Linked DNA regions of Macaca fascicularis. The protein of the gene in region 2 interacts with the protein of the main gene of each other region in a pairwise test. Links are inferred from orthologs where the notes say so. Each region holds a gene or a part of one and is shown on either strand. Other genes may lie near its edges.

Region 1 (4,098 bases), on a different chromosome or scaffold from region 2:
TCACCTGCTCACTCTCTGAGGTCACCGAGGTCAGGTGTGAATTCCTGGACACACAGAACTGCTGGGCACTATACCAGGTCTTTGTGACGAGAGAAAAGTAATAGAAGTTCCCCTTGAAGTACTTCCAGCCTTGAGAAACCACCTGTAGAATGTCATCTAGAGAACAAGAGGTAAAAGTGAATACTGGTATTCTTGATTTCTTGGGGTGCTGGCTTGGTGGGGGCACTTGAATGAGGTCTCAGAGACAGCAGCAAATGGAGCTGTGCTCTGGTGTCCTTGGCTCCTTGTGTAGGGGATTTGGGACACTCTTTCAAATCCTGAAAGTCAGACAGAGACTAATAGAGTGTTTGGGACTGGAGAGGTTAGAATGCAAGAGGATGGACAAAGAGTGTCTTTCCCATGAGGGGAAGCAACCCTCCATCGGCCATGACAAGTGGCTGAGCCCCTGGACTCTAGAAAGGAACTTGATGAGAAATGACTAGGTATGGGCCAGGGTGGACAGCCCCTAATGCTTTTACATTCTGCACTTTGGTGTGGGAACTCTAGCTGGACCCTGGTCTCTTTTCTCCTAACCGCGCCTAAGTCCTTCCCAACCTCAAGCCCTCCCTCCTTAACTTCCTAGTCCATGGCTGCCCCTCTCTTCCCCCCGGCCTCCTCCCTAACCCACCAGCCCAGTGACCTCAGGTCTGGGACAGGTAAGATCTCATGGGCCGCTGGTCGGCTTCAATGTAATTTTCTGAGTCACTTACTTTGTCGTTTGAGCAACTTGCTCATATTGTCCAAGCTGCCCTGGAGTGCCCGGATCTTTGTATTCAAAGCACTGGCTTTCTCCAAATCACTTTTTAACTCTGGGATTTGGGCATTTAAGGTACCGACTTCTTCCCAACTTCTTGTTAAGATCTGGATCTGTGCGTTGGCCTTCTCCACACTGGTTTTTAACTTCAGGAACTGAGAACGCACATAACCCAGGCTCACATTCACCGTCTGGATCTGAACGCCAGCTGCCTCCATGCCATCGCTATTCTTTTTAATTTCAGAATCCAAGGTGCTGATGTTGTCCACACGACCTTTCAGCAACTGGACATTGGTCTTTACATCTGATATGTTGCCCATAAACCGGGGATCTGGGATTGAGAAAGTCAGGAGGTCAGCTGAGGGGAGCCCCAGGGACAGGAGTGGGGCTGTTGTCAGGTCGATCAAAGGAAGGGAAGAGAAGGAACAGGCTGAAGCTTCCCAAAGAACCAGGACAGTCCAATGGGCCACCCCAACCCTCCAATCATTCATTAAGATACAACAAATGTGCAATGGGCACCTACCATGTGCTAGGAACACAGGTGGATACAGACAATGGGGAGATGGATGAAACACAGGCTCTCTGTGAGAAAATTTCACAGGCAAGCAGAAGCAGGGGTTAGAAACCAGTCCTGAAATTTCTCTGAGTGTTCATGGAACATTTGATAAAGGGGTGCCCTCCATGAGCCCCATCACTCTCCCCAGAACTTGATTCCCCCTGGACCCCACCCCTTGGTTGCCATCCCTCTGCTTTCAGAAACCCCTGCAGTGGCTGTCTGCTAGGACAGCACCACTCCCTCACATCTGTCCATGGGCCCCTCTGTGACCATGGGAAGAGCCAGCCACTAATCTGGAAGTGGCTTCTTCTCCAGAGAACATGGAAAAGGAGATTACAAAACTGTTTCTCCCCTTCCCTTGCCCTACCCACTTTCACATTCTGCTCAGGTCCCAGGCCTGGGTACCAGAGATAGGATCAAAGATAAACCAAGAGGCTCAAAGGCGAGCCCTGAGGAAAATGCCATGCTAGAGGCCAGGGGTCTAGGATGGGGGAAGGGGGACTCTGCTCAGAGCCTACAAGTCTAAGACCAAGTATGTCCCGAGGCCACAGAGGGAGAAAACCAAACCCAACAGCTTCTCGGGTCCCCTTGCTCCGCTTGCTGGAGCCCTGGCAGGAGGAAGAAGGCTCTGCCAGCAGCAAAGGGCATGAAGCCTGACAGAGCCAGAAGAGGAAGAAAGATAAACCCCGCAACACCAAATGAGTAGGAAGGCTCCCTAGACATGATTTTTGCAGGGACAGGAGAATGAAGAGAGCACGAACGGGTCCTGTTGAGGGGACTGAGTCATGGAGATCTGTTGGCTTGTTGGTCAGGCTCTCCATCTGGTGAGTTGGGGCCAATGACACATGAGGCTTAGTCCTTCACAGGGTCAGGAGACATTGCACTGTCAGGGACTGTCCACAAGGCTCCAAATCCAAGGAGCAGAGCTCAGATTGGTGGGGGATGGAGGGAGAGAAAATAGCACAGCATGAAAAACTAGATAAATGTTTCCTGAGGACAAAAGAATGTATCCTTGAGCACCAATGTGCAAATGCTGATCCCAATAATCTCCCAGAAATTGGGAGGGAAAGAGCATCAGCTCACCGTACTGGGGGCGGCACACCCTGTTACTGCACATGGAAAGAGGAGAAAGGAGACAAATGAAAGTCGGAGGCAGGAGAAACCTGGAGAGCAGGGAAGTGGTCTGGATCTGGAGGGAGCCAGCTGGCCACAGAGAGGGGCTAAGCCCAGACGATGAAACATGAGGACTTACAAAGGACGGCCTGCAGCAGGATGGAGGCGACCAGGACCAGCGTCAGGCAGATTAATGCAGCACGGACTGTGGGTGTTTTCCCCGGGAACAGAGATGGACCAGACTTGGGAGGAGGCTCTGTTGGAAAAAGAAGAAAATGTGTGTTGAAGGAGTAGCAAAGGGCAGGTTTGCACACAGAACACGGAGCAGGTTCTCAGCAGTGACTGTGGCTTGCCTCGGGGCCAGAGGGAGATGTTCTGTTTGTCCACAGTGAAGTGTGCATCAGGGACCTCCCTCTCGGCCGTCATCCTGAGTGCTCACCCTTACCCTGGAAGCACAAGTGCTTCTGGCTGCCTGTCTCTCCAAGGGCTCTTATCTAGAGGAAACAGGAAGTCAGTCCCACACTAGGTCACCATATCATCCCAACTTCCCTATTCCTGACTAGATACCTTGTCTGGCTTACTCCCCTCCTCAGAAGTCTGAGCTTTCAGAAAGAGGCCATCTGTTGTCTTCTCTGGGAGTCTGTTACATAGATACATTAACCATCTTGTCCCAAAGCTATCCCATTTCTCTTGTAAGATTCTCTTCACCCATCCACCCATCCATTCACCCCACAAATACGGACTGAGTGCCTTCTAGGTACCGATGCTGTACCAGGCATAGGGCCACAGCGATGAATAACTCACAGTCCTTGCACCAAGCAGCTCACAGTCTGGTGGGAAAGACAGACATGAGCAAATAAATTGCACAAGAGACAGATGTGCCCAGTTGAAAGAAGCGTGTGAAATGGAATAATGGAAAAAAAACTGCAGTAGAAAGATAAGCATATGCCAAAGGATGGAGCTTAAGATAGCATGGAGTGCTTGGCAAACTGAAAATAGTGGCAATATTGCTGGAACATAAAATATACACAAAAATGTGAGGAAGGGGGCTCACATAGGGTGGAAGAGGCACCTGGGGTCTGATTATGAAGATCCTTCTGATCATGTCAAGGAGCTTCACCTCTAGCTCGTGGGTGACATGAGGCCAATTAAGGACTTCAGGCAGGAGAGAGACAAGGACAGGGACACTGTAAAAACATCACTCTGATCGTGGTGAGGAGCACAGACTGGTTGGGGGAAGCCAGGAAGCAACCATTGCAATAGAATATTCTGCTTCCTGTTATTAGCGCATCTTGGCTGATACAATATTCCTTTATAATATGCAACTTGGAGATTCAAAATGTAAACCTAAGACTTGAGTTCTCCTCCCTGCTTCCTGTAGCATGTGAGCTTTTCAAACAAAGTAGGGGTGCTCAGCAACGTCAGACTAGGAATCTTTCTGTTTCTCTCTCCTCTCTCTCTGTCCACAACTTCCTCTCTCCTTGCTTGTAACCCTGAATAGAGAGTTCCATATGTGCAAGAAGCTCAGGGCACAGAGGAGCCTATTTGGAGCTCAGTGAAGGACTACATTTTCTCCTGGGTGACTTCTCATGCTTTGAAGAAGTCTGCCAAATCTGAGAAATTTGGCACATGGCAG
Region 2 (3,648 bases):
TGGATCGCCATTACTTTAATCCCTGAAAACAGAACATCTACTTCTTGAAAATGCCTCACATATTCTCAAAAGTGGAGAAGAGATGGGCTTTATGTAAGTACTGCCAGCTTGAAGGAAGCAAGCACAATGAGCTTTTTTTTTTTTTTTTTTTTTTAAGATGGAGTTTTGCTCTTGTTGCCCAGGCTAGAGTGCAGTGGTGCGATCTCAGCTCACGGCAACCTCCTTCTCCCAGGTTCAAGTGATTCTCCTGCCTCAGCCTCCTGAGAAGCTGGGATTACAGGCATGTGCCACCACGCCCGGCTAATTTTTTTTTTTGAGAGGGAGTTTTGTTCTTGTTGCCCAGGCTGGAGCGCAGTGGTGCGATCGCGGCTCACCGCAACCTCAACCTCCCAGGTTCAAAGGATTCTCCTGCCTCAGCCTCCTGAGTAGCTAGGATAACAGGCATGTGCCACCATGCCTGGCTAATTTTGTATTTTTAGTAGAGACGGGGTTTCTCTATGTTGGTCAGGCTGGTCTCAAACTACTGACCTCAGGTGATCTGCCCACCTCAGCCTCCCAATGTGCTGAGATTACAGGTGTGAACCACCACGCCCAGCCACACCCAGCTAATTTTGTATTTTTAGTAGAGACGGGATTTCTCCATGTTGGCCAGGCTGGTCTTGAACTCCCAACCTCAGGCGATCCACCCGCATCAGCCTCCCAAAGTGCTGGGATCACAGGTGTGAGCCACCGTGCCTGACCACAAAATGAGCTTTTAATTTTGAATATTTGCATTTACATCTGGGTTTATGAGATGGGCTTATTTATTGCCCTCAATGATCTAGGCAGGAAGACTATGGAAGAACAAGGGATAATCCAATTGAGACATTTTCTAAAAACTGTTTGCCAAAGAACTCCACTCACAATATTTTTCAAAGGCAGGAGGCAATTCAGAACTTACAAGTTGGGATAAATTTGGAAAAAAAGAATTTGAGATCTACTTAGATCATAATTTAAAAAAAATGAGTCTAATTTTGTTTCTGAGCAGCAATACAAACACACAGTGGCAAAGGGCTATAAATTTAGATTTTTCATAATCTAAGGCATGGAACACCCTTAAGAAAGTTTTCAATCAATTGCTTCATGAGTATAAAATTACAACCAGATAACATTTGTAAAATAAAGCTTAAATCACTTTTCAGTTTGAGCCTAGACAGAATGTGATACATGCATGCTAATTTTACTAGCATCTGAAAATACCAACAGGCTGACTAAAAAGGTCCTGATTAAATTAAGGCTACACTTTATTAATATTTCTCCAGGGTAAATGATAATATTTTTCCAGGGTAATGGTAACATTTTTCCAGGGTAAACTGCTTTAGAAGGGGAACTTGATTAGAAAGTTCCCACGGTAGAGCAATTGTTTGGGTGCCTTCAGCTCATACTGGATCACGCTGGACTGAGGTCCATTGGCAGTGAGGAAATTCTGCAACATCTCTGAAGCCCAAATCTCCTTTGACACCATCCTTAGAAGGGATGGAACATAGAAGTCACTATCATGGTTCTTATTCCCACGCCCTGCTAATTTTCAGTCTCCTGCCTCTGTAGGTTACACACTGCAAAAGCAATCTTAGTATATCCATGTCTTCAAAAAACCAGGGTCACTTCTTCTAACTTCTTTTTATCAGTTCTTAGGTAGAAGTAGAACTTTAAAATCATTGCTAGAATCATATCAGCTTGAAAGTGCACTGACTGCCTTTGTGGATCCCCCAGTCGCTTAACAAAGACTAATGCTTTGTTCATTAGTGTCTTCAGTCCCTGCTGCTCTGCTCAGACATGTTGGCTCTATATGAATTCCTGAGAACTATATCACATTGATCAGTACTACCCAATCCCCTTCCCCATTCCATGAACAAGACCTTTAATCCAGAAATGTAGAAATAGATGAAATACTGCTTCATATTGATTTGTATTATACTGATTCAGATAATACTGTCAATCAAATAATGCTTATCTAAACATAGCTCTATATGATAAAAAATCAATATAAAAAGAACATGTTTTACCTAAAGAATAGTATGCTAGTCTTCAGCTCCAACACTGACAAAAGAAAATATTCCTATTAGATTTGTTAAGTGGTCTTTATGCAATTGCCAGTGGTTTTGGAAAGAATATTTAAATAAGGCACATCTACCACTCAAAACAAAAAGAAGTTTTCATCAGCTACTTCATGACTATGAGAGTTGCTTCTTCACACTCATGAATCAGAATGATTGAAAACTCACTGAGGTCATGCAAACCCAAGAAGTGTTTCTCTGGTGTTATTCTGGAGGCCTGAATGAACTGTGATGTGACATTGTAGCTCAAAGGTAAAAAAAAGTCAGTGGGATAGAATTATCTTTTCCTTGATAGGCCACGGTCCCACGGTCCCCAGTTTAGAGGGCAGTGCCAATTCCTTTAGGCTGTTCTGCTTAATGTCTCAGGATGTCATGTGTCTCTACTCCCCCAAATCTGTATTTAATAATAATGAAAAGATGTAGTATCAGAGTACACTTGGGATCGAGGGTGTCTGACTTCCCCAGGCTAGGCCTTAACTGCTCCACTTCCTGCTCATTTTGTGCTGGTGAGGGTACAAAGGGAGTGCTAATAAGTACCTTATTTATTGGCCTGCTGTCCTAGACATCACTGATAACTGGTATAAATATGGTATAAAAATTGATGTTTCTTAAAAGAAATGATTTTGGTTTAAATGTATGTGTTTGAAAATCATGGCACACCCTCCATATAAACAACTTTGAGTGTTCGCTGGTGACATCTGAGTAAAAAGGATTTAGGGTATGGCTATGGGTGAGGTACATGTGTATATGTGAGGTATATGTATGTAAAGAAATGAGTGAGAAAATAATGCTTAGGGAAAAAGGGAAGTTAGTGTCATCTGGAGGCATTTAGAACCTATAGTATTTGGCATTACAACAAAGGAAACTTGGCATAAAAGATTAACCATAATATAAGTATCTATAAATATAGCTAAATTTAAGACGATTAATATTTGCCATATACAATAAAGTATGGGGTTAGCTTTTTTAAATTTATTTTTTAATTATACCAACCTTTGTGTCTTTTCCAAAGACCTTGGAATGAAAACAAATCCAGTTTTCTGATACAAAGAGCTTTCCTTGGTATAGTATTTCTTTCTGTAGAGCACAGGTAAAGCCTGGGAGAATACACACAGGTACAGCATCATTTAGAATTTCCATTTAAAATAAAAACCATGTATATATTTTGGTGACTCAAGGATGGGCAGAGAATTCATTCATACTCAAAAGTTTTATTGCCTCTTCTTCTGTCATCTTTATGGAAAGCAAGCTGTGGCGACCAGTTTGTTTTTAAATTCAAAGTCTTACCAACTTCAGTATAAATATCAGAATGAAAAGGCAAATCTACTATTGTACCTGAGAGACCAAGAATGGCGTTTTACAAGTCTCCTCTATCATGTGCTGGTATTAGTACACCTGTTCCCCTTTTCCCCAGTATTTTCACTAATGACTGTTTTCGAAATAGATGGCCTCACTAGAGGAAGAGCACATAGCCCACACTTTCTGTCTGAAGGTCATGGCAGGAACCCAGCATCTTGCCTCAACTTTTGCACATCAAGAGAGGCTAGAATGG

The links.
Region 1: the proteins of GRAMD2B (region 2) and CD207 interact in binary tests that used the Homo sapiens proteins (3 or more experiments, as listed by UniProt). The two-hybrid records come from large-scale screens. The link is inferred for Macaca fascicularis from reciprocal best matches to the Homo sapiens genes GRAMD2B and CD207.

What each region holds. Positions count from the first base shown.
Region 1 is NC_088387.1:51,060,478-51,064,575, reverse strand, and holds the start of CD207 (C-type lectin domain family 4 member K), read right to left. Parts: upstream 2,889-4,098; coding exon 2,816-2,888; intron 2,719-2,815; coding exon 2,602-2,718; intron 1,125-2,601; coding exon 750-1,124; intron 157-749; coding exon 5-156; intron 1-4. UniProt on the Homo sapiens protein: Calcium-dependent lectin displaying mannose-binding specificity. Induces the formation of Birbeck granules (BGs); is a potent regulator of membrane superimposition and zippering.
Region 2 is NC_088380.1:133,032,130-133,035,777, reverse strand, and holds part of GRAMD2B (GRAM domain-containing protein 2B), read right to left. Parts: intron 3,194-3,648; coding exon 3,090-3,193; intron 1-3,089.